Linked DNA regions of Lytechinus pictus. The protein of the gene in region 1 purifies or fractionates together with the protein of each later gene. This does not show direct contact. Links are inferred from orthologs where the notes say so. Each region holds a gene or a part of one and is shown on either strand. Other genes may lie near its edges. The genes, in order: cryptochrome-1-like and F-box/LRR-repeat protein 15-like.

Region 1 (8,179 bases):
CTATGGGAAGTACACACCTACCGGTCCCTGTGACCGATTTATCAATGAAGCTATTCTGAGCTGTTTGGATTTCATCAAGTGGCGTTTGAGTGGAAGAAGATCTCAAATGTTTATTTGGTTGAGGCTGATTCTCTATCTCTTGATGCGGAGTACCTCTTTCAGGTGACAAGCTTTCCCGAAATAAGTGGAGAAACTTTGTATGTTTTCTCTGACATCCTGGTACTGAGCATGTTCGGTTCAACTTACAAATTCTGCTGGTATGACCTTGTTGCAAGCAATTGAAACATAGTCTGTTCTCTTGTGCAAATTTAAATCTCTCATCAGGTGTCAGAGACTTAAAGCTGTCACAACCAAACAAGGTATGGTCTTGGTAACACTTGAAGCACTTCTTGGGCTTAGGAAAGCTTGAATTATCAGTGACTGCTGTAGAGTAGCTGCTCTTTGAATTATGCTTGTTGAAGCTTGGTTTAGATGCTGATCTTGGAGAAGTCGCAGTCAGCTCACCGAAGACTGGATCGTTAACTTCTTCGGCGGCATCAGATACAAACTTCACCATGTCAGTGATATCTGGAGATCGGCCTCTTTGTCTAATGTCTCTCACTACTTTCAACCATCTAGCTTTGAGATGAAATGGGAGTCTTTCTACCAGTTTGACCAGTTCTCTGTTACTGCTGATTTCCTTTGTTAGATTCAATGCCTTAAGAGTCTCAAGACATACCTGCAATTCATCAGCGAACTTGCGTAGTCCAGTTCTGTCATTTGCATGAAGTGTTGAACCATTAGTTATCTGTTCGATCCATGCTTCTCCTATCTTAAATCTACTGCCAAAGCGTACTCTCAGTAATTCTCTGGCGCGTTGATATCCTAGCACTGGATCCATTACCATACAACACTGTATGATGTTCTTGACATCCCCTTCACAGCACTGATACAACTTCATGAGCTTTGTCCCCCTGTCTAGTGTAGACGAGCCTATCAAATTATCAAAACATGCTATGAACTCATGATAGTGCAAAGGATTACCGTTAAACTTCATGATCTCCACATTTGACAGGCTTATTGCTTCCAACAACGATGCTGTGTTTGCTGATACTGATACAAATCTTGGTTGTGCTGCGGGTATGGCATGGTGTCTTCCAAATTCTCGTGCGGTACATTGTTATCACGCTCGCTGGCCTGAATCTGTGGCTGAACAGGCTGCTGCTGTTGACCAAGTTCTTCACTTGTGGGTTCAATCTTAACGTCGAGTTGACTGGGATGCTGATCAAATTGTTCATATACAGCCTCTTCTGCTGCTGCAACTTTGAGCTTAGTTTCTAACATAAACTGTGCCTTCTTTTGCTGTAGATGAAATTCTTGAAGCTCTAACTCATGCTGTTCCTTCAAGGATGCTAGCTCTGCTGCCAGGGCTGCCTTCTTGGCCTTCGTCTTTATCCTCGATGACGCTGTTGAACTCTTACCACCTTGGCTGGCCGAGTCCTCCGACTTGATACTTTCAGATGATCCACTCATGGCGACTGTTCTTGACGGTGACGGTGACGACTGTTCTTACGGTGACGATTGTTATTGAACTTTATGTGACGTATAACTACTAGTGACTTGACAGTAGACAGTACTCAAACAAAAGACTCGGTGACGCGGAATTTCCAGTTATCATACGATGCATCAAGTATACAATCTGGGCATACCATCTAGCATACCATCGAGCATACCATCGAGCATGTTCAATCTGTAGCATAAAAATATAAACAAACAATAATAAGCATCTGTATATGCAGTTACATTTATGTACTTGCATGAGATAAAATAAATAGTCTATGTATTGCACAAATTATTTGTGACGTTTGAATCTTGCATAAATAATATTCTGGTTTCCTGTAACATACCTATCAAATTCTGTCAATGTATTCCAAATGACCTTGAATAAACTTTGCAATATGCGGTTAAATAAACAAAACCTTGACTTCGTTTCATTTGTCCTTTATATCCACTACGATACTTAAATATTACCTTGCCTCTAAACTATATACTCTGAGGCATTATTGACTAGCAATAACTTTACTCAAACCAATAACTAGGCTTTCATTTCACCTTCACTGTATGTGTTATTTGTAATTATCAGGGCTTTAAAATGCACCAAAAAACTGGCTTTAATGCCTTATTTCCAAACTCATACATATACTGTATCCTTTTCAACAACTAGAACCAATGTAGCTAACAAAGAACAACATTTGTTTATTTGACATTCCATTTCGTTTACAACTCTGAACATGAATAGCCTACTATGCACTGTGTGCGAGATTACCACACAGTACCGTACCGATATGCTATTACGCAACACTCTTCATGTGCATGTCCAAGTACCTATCAATGTACAATGTCAATATACGTTTATCACACGTGTATTCTATACGTAAACTCCAAACACTTTCACCAAAGTTATGAGCTAAATTAACAACAAATTAATTATCGTCTCGAGTTAATTTTGGCTCCATATATTCAGTTAAACATTACATTACGGAAATATAAAGGTCCTTTTACTTACAACATTGGACTTGTACCGATTATCTTGAATTCTAACTGTAAAGTCACGACGGGCTGAACTTTAAATCTTTGTCGATCTTGGCAAGGCCAATTTCCAACGCCCTCTATCGACCCAGATAAATGATGCTACAACTCAATAACGTCTCTGACGTCATGTTAAATATTTCAAAGAAAAAATACACTTTCTAAATCTTACAGTAACCATGTATCCCTGAATATCATGTGCGAGTTTCAGGTCACATGACTAAGGTCAAAGGTCACTTAGGGTCAACGAAGTTTGGCCATGTTGGGGTTATTTGAGGAATTGTCATTATAACTTTAAAAGTCTATGGATCTAGTTCATGAAACTTGGACATAAGAGCAGCAGTGTATCCCTGAATACCCTGTATGCATTTCAGGAACATGGCCAAGATCAAAGGTCATTTAAAGGTCAATGAACTCTGGCCATGTTGGGAGTACATGTATGTGTTGAATTGGCATCATTAAGTTCCAAAGGAAGTTTATGGATCTAGCTCATGAAACATCGACATAAGGATAATCAAGTATGAATAATTGTTTTGCACATGTCTTTAGCTCACATGATCATGGTCAAAGGTCATTTTGGGTCAATGGGCATAATATTGTATTATCATAGTGTTTTCTTCTGTGAATAATATTCATTAGCTATTTTCAAAGGAAGCACTGCTGCTATATCGCATTGCGTAATGCAGGCGAGACTGCCAGAGGCATTCCACTTGTTACAGATTTGACAATTAGGTCCAACTTGACTGAACCATAAAATGTTAAACAACATTGGTGATTCCACATGTTCAGGGAGAAATAAAACTTTATTTCACAGGAAAATGAGTTGAAAATTAGAATATTTCAAAAAATGCAAAAGAAATAGTGAGTGAGTGATGTCATCAGGTCCCTCATTTGCTTACCAACCGGGATGTGCATATATAACTATTTTGTGAAATTAAGCGAAACTTTAAAATGTTATAACTTTCTTATTTTACATCCAATTTTGATGAAATTTTCAGTGTTATGCTTGTTGGATTTTTCTGTTTTAATCAAATCAACTTTTTGTTGCAGGGTGGACTTGTCCTTTAAATTGTGTTCGTACATTGAAAGTAATGGATCTAAAAGAAACTTTGACTTGAGGGTAATCAGGGGAGCGTTGCCGTTTCATGAAATGACTTGTCAGACATTTTTTCTGACAAGTCCCATTTTATCCAACAGTTACCATAGTAACAGCGCTTCTCAGCCAATCAAAATCAAGGGAAGTTGTCATATCTGACAACTTGTCCGACAAAAATGTTGATGAATGAAACACTTCCCAGCTATCACTTATCATTTTGTGCGAGTTTCAGGTAACATGATCATGGTCAAAGGTCATTTCAGGTCAATGAAGTTAGTATTTTATTATCATATAAATGGTGTTTTTTAGTGAATAATTTACTCATCTTTAAGTTGTTTTCAAAGTCAGCAGGTACATGTATCAATTGCCTATAAAAACAAATGAGACTGCCAGAGGCATTTCACTAATATTTTTTATTAATGTTATTGTTTATATTCCCATTCGTGTTACTTTAGTAAATGTTTTACATTATTATTTTTTTAACATTATTATTTTTATTTTCATCCATATTTTAATCACCATCATCATCATTTTCAAATCAAGGTGTCAATTAGGGTCTATGCCTGTAGACTACATGTATGGCAAGTTTCCCCAAGTCTGCGCAGTCCCCCTTGTCTGCGCACACGCGTATCTGCGCGATTCTAGTAAAAGAAGATACGCAACGAGCACGAACTCTACACATGCAATACATAGACAGGTATTCATTAAAAAATCGAACTCAAAATGATGAAAAAATAATTAATTTAGGGCATTTCATGTGACGGCCTCAAAATGCAGCCTTTCTCATAAAAATCCCCGAATCGTGTGCAAAGTGAATGAGTGCGCAGACATGGGGTACCATTTTTTTTTTCAATCTGAAAATGACAGCCCGAGGTTTTTTCAAGAAAATCCTATATTTTCTTTCATGTTTTTAATGAGAAATTTGGTACACTTACTAATAATAATATAAGGAACATTATTAACTGAAAGATTTTGTGAAATAAGAAGAAATCCATGTTAAATCTTAACTTAAATTGTTAGGTGCGCAGACTTGGGGCCCACCATCATACATGTATGCCTCAGTTGATGCCAAGACGTGTGTGCCACCATTCTCTCTATATTCATGATTATTCGTCTGTTTCTCTCTGTTTCTCTCCGATCAGATTTAACTAATCCTTGTGATCGTCAAGATGCCTGGAGGAGCATGCATCCACTGGTACCGCCATGGATTACGTCTCCATGACAACCCGGCTCTGCTAGAGGGCATGACCCTGGGGACGGAGTTCTATCCCATCTTTATTTTCGATAACGAAGTGGCAGGTATGTCAATGCATTGTACGAGGGACAATGCAAACGTGTTTATTTCTACTTGAACGCATGTACACTTCTACATGTATTATTCAAGGTCTATTACGGTAACAATACAATGTACATGTAAACCATTTCTCAGATTTTTTTTTCAGATTTGATTGTGTACATGTATAATAAAACTATTTTGTGAATTTTTTTTTTTTGCATTGCAAGAATTGTATGCATTCTGTGCTGATTCTGTTATTTGTACTTGTATGTATTTCCCTGCATAGATTTCAGGCAATATTTCTGTAATTATTCTTGAGAACCCAGACATTTTCTTAGAACTTTTTCTTTTCTTTGCTTTGGCATCCTTCATGTATTGCATCACAGAAGTACAGGTACATGTAGACTATTCAACCAACAGTAAACTACCAGTATATTTTCATTCTGGTTGCTCATCTGTACAGCAATATAATTATACATAAAAACATGAATGACATTTAAATACATTTATATCTGTTGAGTGCTGAAAAACAAACTAAATTCAGCATGTATACCACCTTGATCAAGATTTAAAAAAATGTTCTATAGAGGTGTTCTAAAGTTTTGAATGACTTTGTGATTGACAGAAACACATTCTTTGATGTTGGTATTGTTTTTAAGATTGAAATTATTGTTTTCGAAAAGTATATACCAAGCAATTTTTACCAATCTCTCATAAAGTAGCAATGTCATTAATATAAGGGTGCAATTTTTGCGCTTATATTATTATGAAATGCTAATTATGATTGAACTACCAGCTGAATAATAGTTAAATTGAATATTTTACAAAATCAGTGGCCAGTATTCTGAAATCTGATTTAACTTTCTAGGCCAACTGGTCCAACTCTGTGCTAAAATTATAGGAAGCTGAAAATGTAAAGATTTTGTTTACTTTGCATACGTTTCTTGTGTTCACTCTGATCTTCCACCATAATAATAATAATGATAATAATATTAATAATAATAATAATAATAATAATAATAATAATAATAATAATAATAATAATGATAATGATAATGATAATGATAATGATAATGATAATGATAATGATAATAATAATGATAATAATTATGATAATGATAATGATAATGTCAATGATAATAATAATGATAATAATAATAACAATAGTAATAATAATATGAACAGTTTGTAGTGCACAGTTACTATTTCTACTGCACTTGACACTTGGTATCATGTTACTACCCCGGCTGTAGCCGAGTCGCCATGTAGGCGCTCAAGCATTCCAAGAATTTCTTCCTACCAGGTACCCATTCACCTGGGTTGTTTTGTGTTTACCGGTAAATGTCTTGCTGAAGAAAAACTGCCGTGGCTGGGAATCGAACCCACATCCCTCAGATTGAAAGACGAGTCGTAACCAATAGACCACGATGCCCCCGCTCTTCCATCATGCTTTAATGGCAAAGAAAACTAATTCAGTTCCCAGAAAGTTATACTGTATGAATGATCTGAACGACAGATGAGCTGATACATGTAAAATCAAACCTGTTAATCCAACTTGCACTGTTAGAGATTTGTGTCAAAATTGGCTATGCATCTAGTTAAACCACAACTTGTAAAGGAAACCAAGACCTAAGAAGAGAAGCATTCTTGTTGGAAAGAGTAAAATGAGAGGAACAATTGAAAACAAGTTTCATCAACATTGGTTGTGAAATAGGCGAGTTATGGACGTTCAAAAAGTCTTGTTGTACTTTCTATGGGGATCCTCAAATGGGCAAACACGCTTCAAAATGGCTGATTTTGTGAACAATTCTCCATTTGTTTTGTACACAATTTTTCAGATTTTCCCCATTATCTTTCAAATTGCATATTGCCTTATTCTGAGCATGACATATGCCATGGGAAAATATAATTCACACCACATACATGTATGTCAAAGTCAGGAAGAGATGATGTGAAATATGTAAAATAAAGGGGAAAATCTGAAAGTTTGTGTGCAAAACAAATGGATGGTTGTCCACAAAATTAGCCATTTTGAAGCATGTTTGTCAATTTGAGGAGCCCTATAGAAAGTACAGCAAGACTTTTTAAATGTCCATAACCAATTTTGATGAAACCTGATTTAAATTGTTGTTCTTGTGTTCCTCTTTCCAATTAAATTGCTTCTCTTCTTGGCTTTTGGTTTCCTTTTTTAATAATCCAGAGCATGAATTACATAAACCTGAATCAAGAATACAGGCTAATACTCACTAACTCAATGACATCCATCTTTTTCTGACATGTAGGTACAAGCACATCTGGGTTCAACCGATGGCGTTTTCTTCACGATTGCCTGGCGGATATTGATGAGCAGTTGAAGGCAGGCGGAGGGCGACTGTTTGTGTTTCAAGGAGACCCTTGTCTCATCTTCAGAGAAATGTTCCTCGTGAGTTTTAATTTTTACTTTGTGGTTTATTTTTAGTATGTCACAAAATGTAGTAAGCAAATACATGCAAATTTTGGCATTTGTGAAGGTGGTGGGAAAATTGTCACTTTCCAGGCAAGCTGGATGTACATGTAGCTATTTAAAAATAAAGTTCCTTGCAATGCTGAGGAAAGAAAGCGAGTACATCCAACTTGCCAAGGAAGTAATAGTTTGCCTCTTCACCTGAGAGTATTAAAGAGGTGATTGCTTTTTGCCACATCTGGAATTACTAAAAGAACAAACCAGTATTGATATTTTCTCTACAAGAAGGAGTTTTTATTATAAACAAAATTAAAGTTTTCATTAAAAAAAAATTGATTCTATGCTTTTTTTAACGGCTAGCGCATGTAATTGGCTTGCAAGAATCAAGATCTTGCTTGAGCAAGAAAATCGATTTGGATACAACCCAAATGCAACTTGAATCCAACCTAGCACTGTGAACCTATTTAACCATCAATACATTTTTTTATTTTTATTTTAAAGGAATGGGGTGTCCGCTATTTAACCTTTGAGAGTGACCCGGAACCCATATGGACGGAGCGAGATTGTAAGGTCAAGGCACTTTGCAAGGAGATGAACGTTGAGTGCATCGAGAGGGTCTCTCACACCCTTTGGAATCCTGATCAGTAAGTTCACACTACAAAAATTTTATACCGTATAAGCTGACATTTTTTGAGGTGATATGTTTGTAATTAATTTGTGTAATTTGTGCATTTCAACAATTTCCACCTTTGGAATCCTCCCATTTTTAAATTCTTCCATTTAAATTTTGCTTTAC
Region 2 (7,937 bases), on another chromosome or scaffold:
AACATGGTAGAAATAAACGATAAGTGATTTTGCAATTTCCAAATTTTCCCAACTGAAAACACGTTCATGATACGTAGGTTTCATTTCCAAGTGACCGATCATTAAAGGGGGAGTTCACCCTGACAAAAAGTTTATTGTACAGATAGGAGAAAAAAAAAGATAAATATTGGTGAAAGTTTGAGGAAAATCCATCAAAGATTTAAAAAGTTATTAGAATATGTATTATTATTTTTTATTTGTAAAGTCGCTGATTAAAAAAGAAATCAATGAAATGTCCATCACCACCCAAGGCAATTGCTCGCGTGGCTCATGTTTTAAAATCACCTCAGTGGCTGCCCAAATGAGTCCCAAGAGAAACGATTTTTATCTCATGTTTACCTGATTTAATGGTTCAGCAAATCTCGACAGATTATCTCAATATGTTGTCGAGTGTCTTGATGACAGACTTGGCCCAGCTTGGTCATCCAAGGTATTACGTAATGTACCTTATAAATGTCGAAGGAGGTATCACTTGCTTTGGCTGTGAGCTTCATTTTGGTTTTCGAAGAATTATTTTATATCATAAATCATGTCGTTATCACATCAAAACTCTTTACAAATATATTATGAATCATCAACAATTTTATTAAAGACTATCATTTATATCCCGGTTTATACCTCCCTATCAAGCCGAGACGCTTCACAATCCAAGTGATCTGTTTAGTGATATGTTTGTGAATTCTGTTCTATTTTATTTACATTTCCGCTGTTGTCAGAATAAATGTGTCATTTATATTTCTTAGAGAGTTCATATATAGCGAAAGGTATATAAATTTATTTCAACTCGTTAGGACCTCAAAAACAATTTTAAAACATTCCCAGGTCGATCATTCATTAATCTGAGATGTTTGTGACTTCTATTTTGTCTTATTTTCTTTTCCGCCGTTGTAAGAAATTTAAGAATAATGCGTGATTTATATTTCTTCTCGGAGAGCAGGAGTCCGTAACGAAAGGTATATTAAAAAATATTTGAACTCATTAACACTTCAAAACAATGTTAAAATGTCCTGATATATCGTTCATTAATCTGAGATGTTTGTGACTTCTATTCTGTTTTATAATCCTTCCCGCCGTTGTCAAAATAGTGCATCGTTAATATTTCTTAGAGAGGTCATAGCGAAAGGTATATAAATATATTTCATTTCGTTAGGACCTCAAAAACAATTAAAAAACATTCCCAAATCGATCGGTCATTAATCTGAGATGTTTATGATTTCTATTTTGTCTTATTTTCTTTTCCGCCGTTGTAAGAAATTTAAGAATAATGCGTGATTTATATTTCTTCTCGGAGAAAAGGAGTCCGTAACGAAAGGTATATTAAAAAATATTTGAACTCATTAACACTTCAAAACAATTTTAAAATGTCCTGATATATCGTTCATTAATCTGACTTCTATTCTGTTTTATAATCCTTTCCACCGTTGTCAGAATAGTGCATTTCTTAGAGAGGTCATAGCGAAAGGTATATAAATATATTTCATTTCGTTAGGACCTCAAAAACAATTAAAAAACATTCCCAAATCGATCGGTCATTAATCTGAGATGTTTATGACTTCTATTTTGTTTTATTTTCTTTTCCACCGTTGTAAGAAATTTAAGAATAATGCGTGATTTATATTTCTTCTCGGAGAGCGGGAGTCCGTAACGAAAGGTATATTAAAAATATTTGAACTCATTAACACTTCAAAACAATGTTAAAATGTCCTGATATATCGTTCATTAATCTGACTTCTATTCTGTTTTATAATCCTTTCCACCGTTGTCAGAATAGTGCATTTCGTAGAGAGGTCATAGCGAAAGGTATATAAATTTATTTCAACTCGTTAGGACCTCAAAAACAATTAAAAAACATTGCCAAGTCGATCGGTCATTAATCTGAGATGTTTATGACTTCTATTTTGTTTTATTTTCTTTTCCGCCGTTGTATAAGAAATTTAAGAATAATGCGTGATTTATATTTCTTCTCGGAGAGCGGGAGTCCGTAACGAAAGGTATATTAAAAATATTTGAACTCATTAACACCTCAAAACAATGTTAAAATGTCCTGATATATCGTTCATTAATCTGAGATGTTTGTGACTTCTATTCTGTTTGATAATCCTTCCCGCCGTTGTCAAAATAGTGCATCATTAATATTTCTTAGAGAGGTCATAGCGAAAGGTATATAAATATATTTCATTTCGTTAGGACCTCAAAAACAATTAAAAAACATTCCCAAATCGATCGGTCATTAATCTGAGATGTTTATGATTTCTATTTTGTCTTATTTTCTTTTCCGCCGTTGTAAGAAATTTAAGAATAATGCGTGATTTATATTTCTTCTCGGAGAAAAGGAGTCCGTAACGAAAGGTATATTAAAAAATATTTGAACTCATTAACACTTCAAAACAATGTTAAAATGTCCTGATATATCGTTCATTAATCTGACTTCTATTCTGTTTTATAATCCTTTCCACCGTTGTCAGAATAGTGCATTTCGTAGAGAGGTCATAGCGAAAGGTATATAAATTTATTTCAACTCGTTAGGACCTCAAAAACAATTAAAAAACATTGCCAAGTCGATCGGTCATTAATCTGAGATGTTTATGACTTCTATTTTGTTTTATTTTCTTTTCCGCCGTTGTATAAGAAATTTAAGAATAATGCGTGATTTATATTTCTTCTCGGAGAGCGGGAGTCCGTAACGAAAGGTATATTAAAAATATTTGAACTCATTAACACCTCAAAACAATGTTAAAATGTCCTGATATATCGTTCATTAATCTGAGATGTTTGTGACTTCTATTCTGTTTGATAATCCTTCCCGCCGTTGTCAAAATAGTGCATCATTAATATTTCTTAGAGAGGTCATAGCGAAAGGTATATAAATATATTTCATTTCGTTAGGACCTCAAAAATAATTTTAAAACATTCCCAAATCGATCGCTCATTAATCTGAGATGTTTGTGACTTCTATTTTGTTTTATTTTCTTTTCCGCCGTTGTAAGAAATTTACGAATAATGCCTGATATATATTTCTTCTCGGAGAACGGGAGTCCATAACGAAAGGCATATGAAATATATTTTAACTCATTAACACCTCAAAACAGTTTAAAACATATCCAGAAAAAAAAATAGACCCCTAAATTCTGAGATAAATAACAACTTAACATTCCAATATTTTCGCCGATATCAGTTTTAGGTTGGTGTCCGCCGCCGATTAAAACAGCATTACATCATCTATTGAACTTCGCGGTTCGGCAATGAAACTTGACTTTGGATCGGATCAAAGCGCAGCGCATGTGAAAATCAAAACATCACGTGCAAATTTGGCCACCGCCGATTCGGCGGGTTTCCGACACGCGTAAGAAAAATTTTGCCCTGAACATGTGGAATTACAATTGTTTAACATTTTATGTTTCAGTCAAATAGGTCTTTATTGTCAAAATTGAATTATTGTATCATTCAAACAACAAAAAACAAAAGAAATAGTGAGTGGTGGACATCATCGATTCTCTCATTTGCATGTGACTAAATTGTGCATATAAAATATTTTGTGAAAAATAAGCAAAACTTTAAAATGTCATAATTTTCTTAGTTTACATGATGAAATTGTCAGCAATATGCTTGTCTGATTTTTCTCTTTTGATTCAAATCAACATTTTTCTGAGGTGGACTTGAGCTTTAACCCCCTAATGGCGGCTGCACGTTCGCGAGCCGTCTGTGCACGAGGAGAAATTTTAAAAAATGTTTAAAAACTCCACGAAACAGACGGCTGCCAGCTGTCTAGATTATTTTCTGCTCTGCTCTCCTATTCTTTTCCTTTCTTGTTTATATCTTCTTCTTTTTTGGGGGTGGGCATGATATTTCTTTACTTAGAATAAAAAAGTCAGAAATCAAGACTTTGTCAAAGGACAAAGAAGTTAATCTTCTCATCATCTCATCTAAAAAAAATCTTATGAAAAATGTAAAAAGCTTACTCACAATTAAAGAATAATTGTAGGCATGTGTACCGGCAAGACTTGTGCCATGGATATACCCCCAAAATACAATCATTCACACACCCACGCGCCACGCGAATTACACTAACTTTAAATTAATAAACAGTTGAGTAATTACCGGTACAGCAATGCCAATGTATGGGACTGATTTGAACAGATCTGAGATTGAACAGACTTGTCTTGTCAATAACTAGAAATGTCCAGTGCCGATAAATTAGTATTACAAATAAATCGAATGCTTACCAATTTTACAATATGAATAGCACAAGATAACGTCACAAATAAGGAGGTCTTTTCTCCTAAAGCATGTAAAGGCTGTAAAATATCAGTATCTGCAGCACACAACCCCACACAAATGGGTGCTCTACTAGTTGTGGGATGAATGGACTTTTCAGTAGGGCCTACCGGTATTTAACTCCTATCAAAATAGAAAACAGAATTAAGATTATCACAATGAATAATCATATATTTGTAAACATATATTTAAATAAAATCTTAAGTTATTCAATTAATATTTAAATATCAGATATATTGCAATAAGGTAGTAAAAAAATACAAATTCTGATATCAAAGTTTATTCATTTTCATCATCCCCTTTCAAAAGTGCAATCGCCCAAATTAATAAATATCAAGGGATATTCTTGTCAGTGTCACTGAAGACTTGTACTTTTGTAGATAAATCTCTGAATATTGACTGAAGTGGATTGCTAACCTGAAGATTGTAACATCTGACAGTAGACTATCTACAGGGTTTCGAGATCTAGAGAGCAGGTAAAAAGCCGCATAAATTGGCCCTGGCTCCCTGGCTATCCTATCATCCAAGATCACCTAGGGCTAGGTCGTGACATCTCATCATGGTTATGTACCGGTAACTGTAAGGTGATTTAGCCCCTGTGCTATTCGAGTGATGATATCACAGAAATGTGATGAATAAGTGCTACACGCGTGCTTAAAAATCGCATGTGTAGTCGGTCAATTGACTTAATATCAAGATCGAATTCGAATATCATAAAATTGTTGCTGCATTTTGCAGAATGAGTTTAACTTCTTACATTTCTTTTTTACTTTTTCTTTTTCACCTTATATACTGGTATCTTTTTAATTATTTTATTCCACAATTTTGTTATATGGCAAGTCCCCCCAAGGCCAGGCCCAACTTGAAGACCACTCACACTAAGTCAGACCATGGACCTACCAATATGGTCAGACTAAGTAGTAATACTACTAGGCGATACGAGGTACTACTATATATACTAACCTCGTACTCGTAGTCGTACAAGGGACCGTGTTTGACCCTGGATTTTGAAGTAGTCGGCAAACATCGCTTCATTGCTGAAGTAATATTTGCCGAAACTCCTTCTCGCTACGCACCGGGGCTCTTTCCGGTAAGTAGCAATTGCCAATACCTTAGAAAATTATACATATGATTTGTAAATAATTTCATTACAAAAAGAGCAAATTTCCCTTACCTCGGCCTAGCAAGTGACTTCGTTTGTCTTTTCTACGGAAATACAAGGAAGCCCGTTGGTGGCGCTAATAAATTTCACAACCTTGATTCAGCTCCTCGGTAATTTTATAACTGTGTCTAAATTCTTTGAATGCGCAATTCTTATGATTAATTTACTAATTATGGACACCAATAAATGAAATACCTTCAAAAACATAATTCAAGATTACTATTGGCGATGATAACACTTTTTTGCAATTAATTTAAAACGATGACTAATAAAAAGAAATTGAAAAAAATACACATCAGCACATGCCTGGAACGAAACCAGCAGTACAAGCTTTAACGAACGTCAATAATACGGTATACCAAACTAAAGTCTATACATTGAAAAGATCGGACACTTCACGGACTTCGCGTAATGCCTTGCGTCGATTTGCGTGTAAAATAGTGTAGGTGCCTAGTCTTTCCCTTGTCGTGTCTTTGATATGAATATAAATCGCGCGCCCTCTTTAGGCGAAAATTGATATCCACGCTGACCAATTTTTATCTCAGTGAAATCTTTACTAAAGATCAAGAAAATATACATATTTTTTAAAGAAACTTCAAGGAGAAGTCACGGAAGGATCTAAATGATTTGGTAAGTGTCATAGCAGAATGTGAAATACCAGATTATGCGTGATATTTTATGTGGGCAAAAGCCCAGTATATTTTGGATGTGTTGTGTGTGTCGCGTGCATATGACTGATATTCCTTCGCACGCGAGACGGTATGAACCCATGGGTGCCCCAAGACCAAGGTCAAAGTCTGCGCAGTCCCACTCACACTAATAAACGAGGTCCCTACCCTTGGCCTTGTCTGCGCAAACGCGTATCTGCACGATTCTAAATCTAATTAAAGAAGATACGCAACAAACACAAACTTTACACATGCAACACATATACAGATATTCATTGAAAAATCCGACTCAAAATGGTGGAAAAATAATTAAATTTAGACATTCCATGTGATGGCCTAAAAATGCAGCCTTTCTCATCAAAATCCCTGAATCGTGTGCAAAGTGAATGGGTGCGCAGACATGGGGTACCGTATGCTGCCCAATTCTCGCTCACCCTCACAAGCGCGATGCGCACGCTGCTTATTATGATTATCATTTTAAATTCGTCCCAAATTCCTTATTTAGTATACTCGCATAATTAAGCACCCAAGAGGAGACCATTACATGAAAAACCGAAGTGTGGAAAAATAAAATCAATCCCTTAATAAATCTTGAAATACTGCGTTAAATGTAAAGTAACCCGATAACTGTTTGAACTTCGATCAACTGTACCGCAACTGCACCAAATTAAGGTTTTTTTCAATCACTTTAAAAACTCCTAAAAACAGTGAAAAATTTTATATTCTTATATGATGAATGAAAATGTGAGAGTCGAAGGTGCGGGAGGTCCTGATATGTCGTCATGACATTTTTTTCTAGAATGAATATTTGTTGTGTGAATGAATTAGCGAGGGCATACCTTGAGATAGCAGCCTGCCCTAACTTCGCTCACCCTGACTGTAGTATGATAATGATATCATTGTAAGTGTATAGGGTCTAAACAGAATTGTCAGAATTTTTCAAGTAGACTTTTCTTTAGAATCTGATTTTTTGTGTCATTTCCTATATTTTTATGGTGCTGAACATGAATCCGCTTGTTGCCAAATTCATAAATGCCTCCTTCCACCGTTGCCATGGCAACTGATTAATATGTTTTAAAAAAATAACATATTGAGCCTATAGGCCTATATGGCATATTTAATGTCAATTTAAATGGTCCTATCTATCATTCTTAAGCCTTCCAAATTCAATTTCTAGATATAGATATATCAAGTCATCAAAGTATTTGCAAAAGATCCATTGCCATGGTAACGGCTTATCTTTCCCGCAGAAAAATACAATTGATTGCCTGTAGAGACAGGGCGCCGCTTTTTCCGACGGCGTCGTAAACATTGAAATCTTAAAACAGGATAAGTTTGTGAAATGTAATCATAAGTTTGAAATAGGCCTATAGGTTTCTATAGCTATCATGAAACTTAGAAATAAGGGAGTCAGTGAAAATCCTATAGTGAGTTTCAGGTCATGCCACGGTCAAAGGTAATTTAAGGTCAATGAACTTTGGCCATGTACGTTGGGGGCATTTATTGAATTGCCATCATAAATCAACATTATGGTGGGAAAAAATTAAAGGTGGAAAATGACAATGAAAATGCAAAACAATCTACATAGGTTCGAGCAACTCATTTAATTTATATATTTAAATTAAACAACAACAGAGTGTTCTGCATGGATAAGTTCATTTGAATGCATGGTAATGGTATGTTGCCATGGTAACGCCTGATTACTCTACTAGTTCAACTCATAAATTTAATATGAGATGAAAATTAAGTGTAAACAATGTAGGAATGTCTGAATTTATTTCAGGTCATAATTC

What was found.
Region 2: the proteins of cryptochrome-1-like (region 1) and F-box/LRR-repeat protein 15-like purify together in Drosophila melanogaster (affinity purification with western blotting; 5 studies listed by BioGRID). This does not show direct contact. The link is inferred for Lytechinus pictus from reciprocal best matches to the Drosophila melanogaster genes cry and jet.

What each region holds. Positions count from the first base shown.
Region 1 is NC_087263.1:14,452,137-14,460,315, forward strand, and holds the start of cryptochrome-1-like, read left to right. Parts: upstream 1-4,805; 5' UTR 4,806-4,833; coding exon 4,834-4,963; intron 4,964-7,222; coding exon 7,223-7,362; intron 7,363-7,884; coding exon 7,885-8,027; intron 8,028-8,179. Other genes in the region: uncharacterized protein LOC135157674, read right to left, coding at 1-880. UniProt on the Drosophila melanogaster protein: Blue light-dependent regulator that is the input of the circadian feedback loop. Has no photolyase activity for cyclobutane pyrimidine dimers or 6-4 photoproducts.
Region 2 is NC_087262.1:19,957,285-19,965,221, reverse strand, and holds the start of F-box/LRR-repeat protein 15-like, read left to right. Parts: upstream 1-4,600; 5' UTR 4,601-4,790; exon of another isoform or gene 4,791-4,898; intron 4,899-7,937.